Linked DNA regions of Canis lupus familiaris. The protein of the gene in region 1 purifies or fractionates together with the protein of each later gene. This does not show direct contact. Links are inferred from orthologs where the notes say so. Each region holds a gene or a part of one and is shown in the gene's direction. Other genes may lie near its edges.

Region 1 (4,413 bases):
ACATATAGCAGCATTGCTCTTGGGTTCTTTGTCATGCAGATAAATTTTTAATCCAGTGTAGAAAAACTAAATGTATTCTGTGGAAACCATAAGTTTTCATTGTGTTGGGCTTTGAAAAGTTGCAGCTTAATTTAAAATGTACTTCTTTTTTCTTCACATAGTTAATTGTTCCAGTATTGCTTAGTTTAAAAAACCAAATATTAACAAATATATTCTACATTGTTTCATTTTAAGAACCTAAGGAAATCAGTGGTCACACCTCTGGTATTAAGAAAGCTCTATGGTGCAGTGAGGATAAACAGATTCTTTCAGCTGATGATAAAACTGTCCGGTAAGTAATTTTTCTTTAGTAATTTAAAGTTTGAAACATTTGACCTTAGTGCTTATATTTTAAATATTTCTCATAACTGTATGTAGGAAGAATTATCTCTATACATTGAAAGTTAAGTTGTACATAGGTCACATTTTCTTGGAGCTATCCATTTACTGTTATAAACATAGAGCATAATCTACAAGACACTGAATTAAAATTATTGACATCTTTATAAGCATGTGCTCTTGACCTGAAGTAGTGGACACACTGGCTACAGGAGGTCCATGAAACTCCTGAAATTCTATGAAATTTTGTGTGCTGACACCTGATGTTTTTTTCTGTGGAGAAAAAACCCCAATCAGATTTATAAATACAGAATTTAAGAACTGTTATTTAGAGTGACACTAAAATTGCTAAGATTAAAACCTTACATGACTTTTAGCATAGTTTTGCCAAGAGAGGTATTTTTAAGTATAAGTTAACTTTACCAACAAGATACCAAGTAATTTAACATTGTATAGGAACCCCAAATTTCTCCATATCATCTATAATTTATGAGTTGGAATGGAGGAGGTTTTACTACAATTGTGATTATGCTTTCATTGGTTAATCTGTAAATATAATTGGGAATTAAGCTTTTTTCTTAAATAAGCTAATTATCACCTTATTTTCCTCTTCTTTTGCAGCCTTTGGGATCATGCTACCATGACAGAAGTGAAATCTCTAAATTTTAATATGTCTGTTAGCAGTATGGAATATATTCCTGAGGGAGAGATCTTGGTAATAACTTATGGACGATCTATTGCTTTTCATAGTGCAGTAAGGTATGTCCAAGAAATACCTTCCCTTTTTTTTTGGTAACTTAAAAATTGGAAGGCAGAAGTGAAAAATATATAACTCTTTAATAAGGCAAATCTTGACCATATTATATGGGGAAAATGTTTCCATACCACTAATAATGTGTATTTTAAGAATTTGATACACTAGGGAATTAATCTAATTATTTCCAGTGTTTAGGGGAGATTTATTGGTAAAATTTAGTAACTTTTAAATTTTCTTTTTTTGATTATATTTTTCTTAAAAGGATCTCTAGACTGGAATTATACTTAACGTTCATTACTGTATAAAGCTACTGTGATCTTGATTCTCTTATTCATTTTCCCTTTAACATTTTAGAGAAATAGTGATTTTTTTTCTTCTATTCCAAAGTTTGTATAGACCTAATAATGTTTTTTAAAAACAGACGTAGGGGATCCCTGGGTGGCTCAGAGGTTTAGTGCCTGCCTTTGGCCCAGGGCATGATCCTGGAGTCCTGGGATTGAGTCCCATGTTGGGCTCCCTGCATGGAGCCTACTTCTCCCTCTGCCTGTGTCTCTGCCTCTCTCTCTCTCTCTCTCTCTCTCTCTCTGTCTCTCATGAATAAATAAATAAAATCTTTAAAAAAAAAAAAGATGTAATTTTTTTGTGACTGTAAATATAGTAAATGCCCTTGTTGAAAATTTGGGAAATATAATTTTTAAAAATTTACCCACTGTTCTTCAACCATAGATGCCAGAATGTTAATGGTAGTTGTATCTTCCATTAGTTTTTTTTCTTGGTTACACATTTTTTCTTCATTATACATGTGTAACATTATATATGCATGTATTTGTGTGGGTATTTTTTTTAATTACGAGGGCCCTATAAGTGTAATTTTGATTTTTTATTTTAAACTGTTGTTAGCTATTCAAAATTGTTTGAAAATACTTAGGTTTTACTAAATTATGTATCAATTTCTCTGAAAAAGCTGATGTGAAAACTCACTGATATTCATGTGAAACTATTGGTATGCATTGATTTTTATTATATAGCTATAGTTTCAAATTTGGTTTTTCTTTCAAGCTTGATAGCAAAGATGGAACCATCTTTAGCAGTTTTATATTTTTGTGATATTGAAGGTTTTGTTTCAGAAGCTTATAAATTCTCAGCAGTTGAGAATAATGTACAAATAGTGTTTTATGTTAATTACTATAAAACATTTTCTCAAAGATAATGTGTAGTTGTCATGGAAAAATCAAACAATACAGAATTAAATTTCTTTCAGGGCAAAAATCCAGATATATTAACCATACTGTTGTGAATTAGCCACCACAGTCATTTCTAGGGAAGCGTTCATTGTACAAAGTGTACTTGTATTCCTGGAATGAATTCCACTTGGGCAGAGTATCCTTCTGGACTTTTGCTAATATTATTTAGAGGTTTTTTTGTTGTTGTTGTTGTTTTTTTAACATCACTATGTTTGACTAAATGAAAATATAATTATTTCTTGGGTTTCAGGAATTAGGAACAGTTTAAAAGTACTCTTTCCTGGTATTGTTTATGCAATATTGAAAATTCATCAATATTATTTAAATCATTTTTCAGTTTGGACCCAATTAAATCTTTTGAAGCTCCTGCAACCATCAATTCTGCATCTCTTCATCCTGAGAAAGAATTTCTTGTTGCAGGTGGTGAAGACTTTAAACTTTATAAGTATGATTATAATAGTGGAGAAGAATTAGGTGGGTTGTTCTCTTTTTCCTCCCTTAAAATGATGTGGTTACATTTATCAATGCTGGATTTCAGTAATACCTCAGTTAACAAATTTTTCAGCTAACTAAAACTTTCTATTTTCAAGTGAAAAAGGATTTTTTTCCCACTCTGGATAGAAGTATTTATAGAGCTATAAACAAAGCATGCTAAACTCTCAATTTTACCTTTTCCTTTTAACTTAAGTTCATTGTATTCAGATATTCTATACAGTAGTGCAGTGTATTTATTTGAGGGAAGGAGGAGGCAGGCAGTCTTACGTCAAAATCATGTTAAACAGATGTAAGAGTATTTGTTCTTTCTGAAGTATAATGCTAATATGTAGCTCATCTACCTGGCTTCCCTTTTAGCCAATGTAAAAATCTCTAAGCTCTATAGAGAATAGTGTAGACAAAAAACAGTTATGGTGTATTATAGGGATACCTTAGGGATCTGAATTGGAGGGGATTTTTGTTTGGTAGGGGTTTTTTTTTTGTTTGGAGTCTGACTTTTGCTTCCGTTTTCATAGTAGTCCTTCATAAAGGAAGGGGAAGGGCAGGTAAGATTAATTTGAAGTTAATCTACATCCTAACTTTACATTTATCTGATTGACTAGCTATTTTATAATCATGGTTCTCAGTATCTACTTTTAGCCTTCACAGAATTTCTTTTTGAACTAGTGTATTTAGTCTTTTTCTGTAAGCTGCTACTTGTTTCTAGCTGCCTTGCTTTACTACCCAATGAAATTAAGCTTGTTAGAATTATACACAAAGAACAAAAGACAACTATATGTTTTGTTTCTTTAGGAAAACTGATAGATTTGGGTTGGATAAATGGAAGTTTGGTGAATGAAACATAGAATCTATTATAATTGTTTATAGTTCACCCTATATTGTTTGAATATAGATGACTTTTAAATGAGAGACTTTTTTTTTATTATTTTTATTTAACGTCAGTTTTCAAAGTTTCAGAATGTTTTGGCCATGTTTTTTATTTTTTGAAAAAGAAGTAAATTATTTGCCTGAGATCTGAGATCACAGTTAGTGAACACCAGACCGTGGACCCAGCTTATTCTCATTACAAACCTCTCATATTCTTTCTACTTTCATGAAAATTTTACTCTCACGATAAAACTCTCTTGGTATTCTCTGGTTGTACAGAGATGGGGAAGATGAGGTTCCTTGAGTTGACCCAGAGACAGAATAGAAGCATTGGTCTAGGTAATAGTAAAGACTTTGAAAACTACTAAGGTGATGAGGCATTATCATCAAAAATTCGTAAATAAGTATAGGACTTAAACAGAGAAACACTACTACTGATCTGTATATTTTCTCATTAAATTCCCCAGACTAAAATATTTAAGGATTGCCATTGATCTTGTATCTTCATGTTCTGTGTGACAGAATGACTAGTAGACTCTTAGATATAGTCTGGCAGGAAATTAAGAGGCAGATTGTGTAAAAGAGCTCCATCTGGTGGCTCTCTGTGGTCATAAGAAGAATTGGTTCCCTGGTAAACAGGCAGTGAGTTTATGATGTGGAAATTGGGGCTGA
Region 2 (4,413 bases), on another chromosome or scaffold:
CTTGGTTCTTGGACTGAAATATCAGGCTATGATGAGAGTTCCATAAATAATTCATAGGATGTCAGCAAACTAACATCTTTAACTCCCCATCTTTGAATTGGTAGACTTACATTTTTTGAGCACCATCTTATTTTCTCCATTTTCTTTGAATAAATATAATTTCAGCAACTTTTGATATAATGATTCATTTGAGGTTGTTTAGTAATTGTCCAGGTATTATGGGCTGAAATGCTTTGACACTGGGATAGGAGAAGAGGCTTTGAACCTAAAGGGGAGAATTGTGATTGCTATCACTTTTTAAGCAATTGCATTTACTTTTTGTTTCTTTAGGGAAACCAGCCATTGCTCATAGAGATTTGAAATCTAAGAATATCTTGGTAAAGAAGAATGGAACTTGCTGTATTGCAGACTTAGGACTGGCAGTGAGACATGATTCAGCCACAGATACCATTGATATTGCTCCAAATCACAGAGTGGGAACAAAAAGGTATGCTTGTAAATAGTGTTTATTATCTTCTGAGCTCAACTTCTTTTTAATTTCCTTCTCATTTATGTGGATTATCTTCTGAAACTCAAACCTGTACTTTATTAGATTGCCCACAGGTAGAAGATCTCATGGTCTTGCCTGCTCTGAAGCCAAGGTTACCTGACTTTTAAAGATGCCTGCTGATGAAAGGTGGCCCTTCCAGAAAATATCATTCGTGGCCCTTCCAGAAAAATTATAATAATAATAGGAGCTGATGTTTATAGGGTACCCAGTATGTGCCAGTCATTTTAATGGGTCATACATATATATATGCTTGGTTCTTGCTTAATATATATATATATATATATATATATTCATTCTCTCAGTTAATGCTCTCTTCAAATGCTGTACTGTAGCTAGCCCAACTATTTTCTTATTTTTAGTTCCTGGAACTATACTTTCTTCCTTAGAATTTCTGCATGTGTTGTATCCTAGAGCAGACTTTGTCCTGCTGTTTCCCTGGTTTATTTTTTTTATTTTTTTATTTTTTTTTGCTGCAAAAAGCTTTATTGTCTTGTTTCCCTGATTTATAGTCACCCTTCCTTTCCTAGAGGAAGCCCTTCCTGGACTGTGAGGCGCCCTTCCCAGGGGCTCTCATAGCAAGCTGTGAAGCTGGGCCATTAAGGCACTGAGCACATTATAACTCTCCATTTACTTGTCTTTATATTCCATTGGATTGCAAGCTGCTTGAGATCAGGCTTGTATTCCCAGCATCCATTATAGCACCTAATGCATAGTAAGTCCTTAGTAAATATTTGTTGAATCTATGAGTTTTCTAAAGAACATAACTAGGTAGGTGTCATTGCCTTCATTTCACAGAAGAGGAAACAGCCCCATAGATGTTAAATAAAAAGGTCAGCCTCACCTGAAGAGCTGAGATTTGAATTTAGGCCTTTCTGACCCCAAAGGCCTTAGTGTGTATATCACAGCATGTTGCCACAATGTATCTTCACACTATTGCCTCCACCTTGGATAGAGCCAAGCTTTATTCTATCTCAGTTGTATCTGTGATTTCTGGATTTGACGAGGACTCTCAGAACTCTTGATGTGGGGATTCAAGACAGTGATTGCTACAGTTCTTCATGGATCCTGATCTGTAACTTCAGGAGGGTTTTTAAAATTCCAAAACCCTACAATGAGGCATCAGTAGGAGGACTGGCATTCATTTTTTAATCTATTATTTTGTTCCCTGGATTATGTCCTCATCCTTCCTTTTCATCCTATTTTAGTGAGAAGACTTCTAGATTAAAATATATGATCCCTGCATAGTATTTGACAAAGTGGGTGGTATATGTTAAGACATTTATAATAGTCATGATTGTTATATAGGTGTCTTTCATTGGAAATGAAGATCATAAGGCAGATAAGATAGCATGAAATTGCTGTTTCAGCTTTTCATGGCATTTAGTTGACATCATTAATTTTCAAAGCAGTGTGGATATTTAATATTTTTCTTGAGTCTAATATTTTAGTTATATAATATTGTGTGTGTGTGTGTGTGTGTGTGTGTGTGTGTGTGTATCTCCATATATGAATAGAGATACCTGAAAGGTTGTTCATCAAAGCATTAATGATTTTTCACTTTGTACTTTTTGAACTTTGAGAAAATTTCTATAAGAAGCATGAGTCATTTTAAAAAGCAGAACCATGCTAAAAGGGAAGAAAAGTCTTAAAGTTAATACCAATTTAAAAAATATATATAAAAAAAATTCTCAGTAGGAAAAGAAAATATGTGAAACAGTTCAAAAGTAGTATGGCTACTATTCCATAAAGTAAATTGCTGACTTCTTTTTTAGGTATATGGCCCCCGAAGTTCTAGATGATTCCATAAATATGAAACACTTTGAATCCTTCAAACGTGCCGACATCTATGCAATGGGCTTAGTATTCTGGGAAATAGCTCGACGATGTTCCATTGGTGGTAAATTTCTCCCCCTCTCCCAACAGTTTGTCATGAACAGAAAAGGTGGTCCAGGATAGCCGCTTTTTTTTTTTTTCTTTAAGATTTTTTTTTTTTAAGATTTTATTTTTTTATTCATGAGAGACACACACACACACACACACACACACACACACACACACAGAGGCAGAGACACAGGCAGAGGGAGAAGCAGGCTCCACGCAGAAGCCCGACATGGGACTCCATCCTGGGACTCCAGGATCACGCTCTGGGCCAAAGGCAGGCACTAAGCCACTGAACCACCCAGGGATTCCCTTTACGATTTTTATTTATTTATTTGACACTGAGAGATGGTGGTAGAGAGCAATCACAAGCAGGATGAGTGGGAGAAGGAGAAGACTCCTCACTGATCAGGGAGCCCAATGCGGGGTTCAATGCCAGGACCCTGGGATCATGACTGGAGCCGAAGGCAGATGCTTAACTGACTGAGCCACCCAGGCACCCCTGTCGTGTTTTTGTTTGTTTGTTTGTTTGGTTTTTTTCATTGAATGAAATTATACACATTAGTAGTCAGAAATTATATTCACCAGGTGATCACTGAGAGTGCCAAAGAAAATAATGGAGATAAAATTTGCAGTGGGGGGAAATGACATGATATGACATGCTTATTCTAGTGTATTCTTTTTCTATTTCCATTTGAATCTTGGGAAACATGAGAAACCAAGCCCTTGTTATCTTGGAATATAGTTATTTATAATGGATGACTGCTTGAGAGGCCACCCAGGAAGCTGTTTCTACAGCATGTACCTGGGTCAAACTCATTTTCCCCCCTGAGAGTGTGTTATTTTCTCCAACTTCTTAGCTGGAAGTTACATATACAGAATACAGTTACATTACCATTACACTAGTTTTTAAACAAGTTTATTTTAGCTGAAATTTAGTTTTAGATTGAGCACTTTTAATATTTACTTGCGGAATAGTTTCTTATACTTAGGGGCCCAGGCTTGGTTGAGACTTGGGTTTATGTGGCAATAAGAGGGAGAGCATGTCTCTGTATTATATAGCAAAGAGGACAGATCCAAGTAGAGGTAAAGGACTTGCACCCCAGATTTGCTTGTAGGATTTACATCTCCATGGTAGAGTGTATATCCCCTGTACCAAGTGAGAGGGTGAGCACTCACAGGTTAAAAACTATCATTTCTTGCACATGAGGTGAAAATGTTAATCAAGTCATCATAGCTCATAGTTAACCGTCATTAAAATAGCCTTTGCTGATCCCCTAGTGATATGTAGTTTCAGAGTGTGGGCCCAGTACCAACTCAGAGAGATGGGTTGTTGATGCTTGTTGATGCAGATGTGGATGAGATAGAGCAAGCTAGAAGCCCTGTTCCACTTCGCTAATTTATTAATGGAACCCTGAACTAGGACTCTCAGCTATTCCTGGACAAAGAATGATCTGGCATTAGCTGAGTAAATTCTTCAAAAACAATTTCTTTTAACCAATATAGGAATTCATGAAGATTACCAGCTGCCTTATTATGATCTTGTACCTTCTGATCCATCAGTTGAAGAAATGAGAAAAGTTGTTTGTGAACAGAAGTTAAGGCCAAATATTCCAAACAGATGGCAGAGTTGTGAAGTGAGTATTGATTTTGGATACTACACAATTTTCTGAACTGCTTCTGCTTGTATGTGGAAATTTGTTATTTTTTTTTTAAGGAAAATAGACACAAGAATTTTTTTTCTTTTTCTTTTTTTTTCATGGCAGTTAAATCAGTGAGTGAAAAACATAATTTGGTTTTCCTGTTCAATCTCAAGTACATCAAAAGGGCCATGGAGCATTTGCAGTGACCATCAGTGTGTCAGAATAGTATTTAAATCTACCAGTAAACCAAGGCACCTGCATTTTCATTTTATCTGTTTTTTACATGGAGCATTCAGTCCATTTACGTTTAATGCACTTATCAGTATAGACGGGTTTAAATTC
Region 3 (4,413 bases), on another chromosome or scaffold:
AGCCCGGGGGCAAGGTCAGGGTCTGCTGTCTGGCTTACTGGTGTGCCCCCTCTGCGTGTCACAGACTGAGTCAGAAATCTGCCATTTCCTTCCACTTGGGCCTGCCTAGCCTCTCCGTACCCTCATAGCCTCATCTGGGGGGGAAATGGGATAACGATAGTACCTCCCCTGTCAACTCATTTTGCAAATGAATAAGTGTAGTGTCCTGAGAACCCTGCCTGGCACAGCAGAATTGCTTAGATGTTATCTTCGGGGTCTCATAATAGCTCTCTGTGATGTTTGGTGAATTTTCTAAATCCTTTTTCATTCCCGGCACTTTTTTTTCTCTGCAGTCCTACAGGTTGCATTATGTAAATTTGTCACCTTCTGCCAAAGCAGTATTTGTAAAAGTAGCCTTTTTCTGACTTTGAGAGGCCTCCTCGGGCTTGCTATTCTGGGACTTAATCTATGTACCTTCTTCCTGTCCCTTCGTTAATCTGATAGACTTCCGTTCTCCAAGCCTTCACTTGGCAGACTAGAAAAATCTGTTTCCTTTTAGTCTTCCATATTAGTATGAGTCATGATTTGGAGAGAAGCAGGGCTCAGCAGTGGCCGGTGCTGGGTCCCTCTGCTGAGCCCTAGGTTTGGGGTCTTACCTCTGCTTGACAACCTGGAGCGGTGCCACACAGTGCCGTGGAGGTGGAGCTGGCCGGGGTCACTGCCTCAGGACAGGGTGGGCCCTTGAGCACTCCCCCTACCTCTAGATTCGGGGGAAGAGGTGAGCCTAGACTCCTGGCCCCCCCCCCCCCCCCCCCCCCCCCCCGCCCGTGAGCTTCCCAGCTCGTCAGAGAGGGAGCCAGAGTTGGCTGATAGCTGCTTTGGCTTCTGCCCCAGCTGCAGTCTTAAGATTTGGCTTTAAGATTTGGGGACCTTGGGCAGCCCTGGTGGCGCAGCGGTTTAGCACCGCCTGCAACCCAGGGCATGATCCTGGAGACCCTGGATCGAGTCCTGCGTCAGGCTTCCTGCATGGAGCCCGCTTCTCCCTCTGCTTGTGTCTCTGCCTCTCTCTCTCTCTCTGAATGAATAAAAAATAAATCTTAAAAAAAAAAGTTAAAAAAAAAAAGATTTGGGGACCTCTTGTATGTCCTTTTTCAGGCCTCCCTCTGATCTTCTTCCCTCCAGGCCAACCAGGATCTCCCAACCTGAGGACAGCAGGCAGCCCAATAATGTGATCAGACAGCCTTTGGGTCCAGATGGGTCACAGGGCTTCAAACAGCGCAGATAAATGCGTGCGGGAAAGGATGCCGCCACCGCTGCCGCCATCACCGCCTCTTGGGTCGTCCGCCACGGGTCGCACTGCCGTGGCAGACAGCTGGACTTGAGCAGAGGGAACGACCTGACTTACTTGCACTGTGACCCCCTTTGCTCCGCCCACTGTGACCTTGAACCCCATGCACTGTGACCTCCCTCCTTCCCCCCCCTTCCCACTGTGATTGGCACGTCTACAAGGGCTGTCCCAAGTCAATGGAAAGGGAAAGGGTGGGGGTCAGGGGAGGGTTGGGGGGACCCAAGAAGGACTCAGAGTAGAGAGTCAGACAGTGTCACTCGGCCACTTGGGGTAAAGCCAGTGCCAGCAATAACAGTTTATCATGCTCATTAATTTGGGATTTCAAAATACGGATGAGAACTCCCGTCCACCCACCCGCAAGTGCATGTCTTCATCACTTAAAAGCAAGTTCCATTTGAAAATGTCCTTTCTTTTTTTTTTTTTCTCCTTCCTACTTTTGTTTGTTTATACAAATAATCTGATTTGCAAGAAAAAGTGCATGGGAGGGGTTTTAGCAGTTTAATGAATTTTTAATTGAGAAAGGGTAGTTTGGTAGTCTACTTAAAAATGTTTCTGGGAAATTCACCAGAAACATTAACCAATAGGACTTTGGTGAGCTTAGCTTCTGTATTCCTACTGCCGCCCAGAAAAGGGGCAGGGCTCTGCAGCCCCCAGGACAGATGAGCACCCCATGCCTATACCTCCCTCCCCCAGCTAAGTCCCAGGGCATCTTCGCCCTACCTGGAGACTGAGCTAGCTCTATAGGCTCAGAGAGCCTGGGGAGGATGCCAACCCCACCTCTAGTATTTTGGGAGATAGGGAAAGTGAACAGACTTCCCCTACCCATACCCCTCAGGGTGGTTCCCTGCCAGCCAGGCTTGCTCCTTCTAGAAGAGAGCAGGGAGTGAGATGCACTCCGGGCTCGGAAGTAAGGAATGTGAGACTTGCTCAGTGTTTTGCTGTTAGCCCGAGGAGAACCAGGAGAAAGTGGTTCCAGGACTCTGAACCTCCTGCCCAGTGTGCTTGGAAGGTGGACAGATCTTCCCACTCCAGCAAGGCTTGAACTCTCAAGGGTCTGTGGAGCACCATCTCTGTTGATGGCACCATGCCTAGTATATTTCCTTTGTGAAATCACTACCTTGGGAGCAGACCATTCTGAATACATGTGGGAAAAGGCAAGCTGTGCATTGCAAAGATTGGTGGTGACAGACCATAGACCCAGGCCACCCCTCACCCATTTTTCCAGAGCAAGGCTCTGGAATGAAGGCAGTTTCCCCTCTGTCCCTAGAGCCTAGAGATTTGCTTTGGCTCTTTAAGGTGGGAGAGGCTAAGAGGGCAGCTGCCTAGAGCAGCTATGTGTGTGTTTGTATAACTGGGTCCTCTCAGGCTTTCTGGTCTCTTCCATTGCACTGCGCCTTATCCCTCAGCCAGCCAGGTAGCCTCTCCACTCAGCGGATGAATTTTGGAGTGGGTGATAGGACATTTTGTGATTAGGGCAGCTTGCGGTGGCCAAGGTGGCAAGCTAGGTTTTGCAGGCTCACTCCACCTTTGGTTTACCTGGCTCTCAGCCTTGCCCTGTGGGAATGTAGGTCAGGCCCAGTAAGCCATGTCCCACTGCATCTCCCGCTGAGGAGGAAGGGCCAGCTGCCCGTTGAATCAGCAGCTAGTCCACAGCATAGCCTTATAACCATGAGCAGCCAGGAAATGGTGCGTGAGCAGAGCTGGAACAGAGCTTCAGTCACAAAGAGGCCACAGGCTGTTGGGTTGTATCCACAGGCTGTTGTAAGAGGGATGATCCCCCAGAAGTGGCCAAGGAAGAAGATTGGCTGCTGTCTTTATAGTTCCACTGCCCTGACCAAGTTTCCTCCTTCTAGATGTACAGTGTCTAGCCTTCATGTAATAGTAGTTTCTGGCCCAAGATGAGACTGTCCTTTCAGTTGGAGAAGGGTACAGAGGTAGGCCAGGTGGGATGGCCAGGAATACTGATTGCTCAGCCATCGGGACCACCTGCTCTTGCCCCCTCTCCCCTAGTGGGAGTGGAAGGGAAGGCTGGCTGATGGGTGTCTGTGGATTGAGGATGTAGTAGGGACTGGTGTTCCCACCTCCCTCTGGCCAAAGATGGGGCTTTGCCCACTGTGCCTGCTACCACCCATCAACAGTTGTACTCTTGGCTTCCCAGATGGAGAGGTGACAGGCAAAATTTTAAAGAGAAAGAAATGAAAACAAGGAAATGTGTTGGGGGGAGGTGGGAGGGTTGATGGGAGAATGGTTTGGATTTTGTGTGTGGGGTTTTTTTGTTTTGTTTTCTTTTTCTTTTTTTCTTTCTTTTTTTCTTTTTCTTTTTCTTTTTTTTTTTTTTTTTTGATTGTGACTTTCCTTAAGTGCTTCTTCTTCTTTTTTTTTTTTTGTTTTTTTCTTTTAAGTAAGCTGCAGGCTTTGGCTTGGAAAACCCCAGGGGGGGTGGGGGTGGGGCAGAAACCTGAGGCTGCTGCCTGTTTATCTGCCTTCATGGTACTGTCCCCCTTTCCCCCAGCTCCTCCCTGACCCCATGAGCCAGGCCTCAGACCTTCCAGCTAACCGCTTCCCATGAGCCACTACTCTGATGTCAGCCTATAACCAAAGGAGCTGGGGGTCCAGGCCTGGTGACCAACCCTTCTCAGCCCACTCAATCAGGGTGCTCCCCACCTGCAGGCAGGAGGCAACACCCTATCTGCTACCATCAGCCCCTTCCAGAGCCCACTGCCCCGCCCTGCCCTGTCCAGCCCAGCCATACCCTGCTCTGCCCCATGTGGGGATGCTCTGCTCAGGGATGGGCGGGCAGGGCTGCCCCAGCCTCCCTGGTAAGCAGAGGCTCTGGAAACGTCCGGGGTCCTGTTTTCTGCTCGTGTGATCCCAGGGGTGCATGTGGGCCCCTTGGGTGTCTGAACAGAAGGGCATGGGAGGGAGGGCCGCACCCCTGCAGTCCTGCTCTGCTGGTCTAGCGGGCAGCTGCCTACCCCACCCCACCCCGCACCGCGGGCTCCTGAGTCGGCAGATTAAGCATTTTATAAATTGTATTTTAAATACATGTTTTAAACTTGTCAGAACCTTGTCCTCATTTCAGTCCC

Evidence for each region. The genes of interacting proteins can lie anywhere in the genome.
Region 2: the proteins of STRAP (region 1) and TGFBR1 purify together in Homo sapiens (affinity purification with western blotting; 3 studies listed by BioGRID and IntAct, with this or other methods). This does not show direct contact. The link is inferred for Canis lupus familiaris from reciprocal best matches to the Homo sapiens genes STRAP and TGFBR1.
Region 3: the proteins of STRAP (region 1) and SZRD1 purify together in Homo sapiens (co-immunoprecipitation; 3 studies listed by BioGRID and IntAct, counting the BioPlex papers as one, with this or other methods). This does not show direct contact. The link is inferred for Canis lupus familiaris from reciprocal best matches to the Homo sapiens genes STRAP and SZRD1.

Annotation. Positions count from the first base shown.
Region 1 is NC_049248.1:15,362,501-15,366,913, forward strand, and holds part of STRAP (serine-threonine kinase receptor-associated protein), read left to right. Parts: intron 1-234; coding exon 235-331; intron 332-999; coding exon 1,000-1,137; intron 1,138-2,716; coding exon 2,717-2,853; intron 2,854-4,413. UniProt on the Homo sapiens protein: The SMN complex catalyzes the assembly of small nuclear ribonucleoproteins (snRNPs), the building blocks of the spliceosome, and thereby plays an important role in the splicing of cellular pre-mRNAs.
Region 2 is NC_049232.1:56,544,758-56,549,170, forward strand, and holds part of TGFBR1 (TGF-beta receptor type-1), read left to right. Parts: intron 1-330; coding exon 331-487; intron 488-2,322; coding exon 2,323-2,447; intron 2,448-3,934; coding exon 3,935-4,065; intron 4,066-4,413. UniProt on the Homo sapiens protein: Transmembrane serine/threonine kinase forming with the TGF-beta type II serine/threonine kinase receptor, TGFBR2, the non-promiscuous receptor for the TGF-beta cytokines TGFB1, TGFB2 and TGFB3.
Region 3 is NC_049223.1:80,809,113-80,813,525, reverse strand, and holds part of SZRD1 (SUZ domain-containing protein 1), read left to right. Parts: intron 1-1,161; coding exon 1,162-1,264; 3' UTR 1,265-4,413.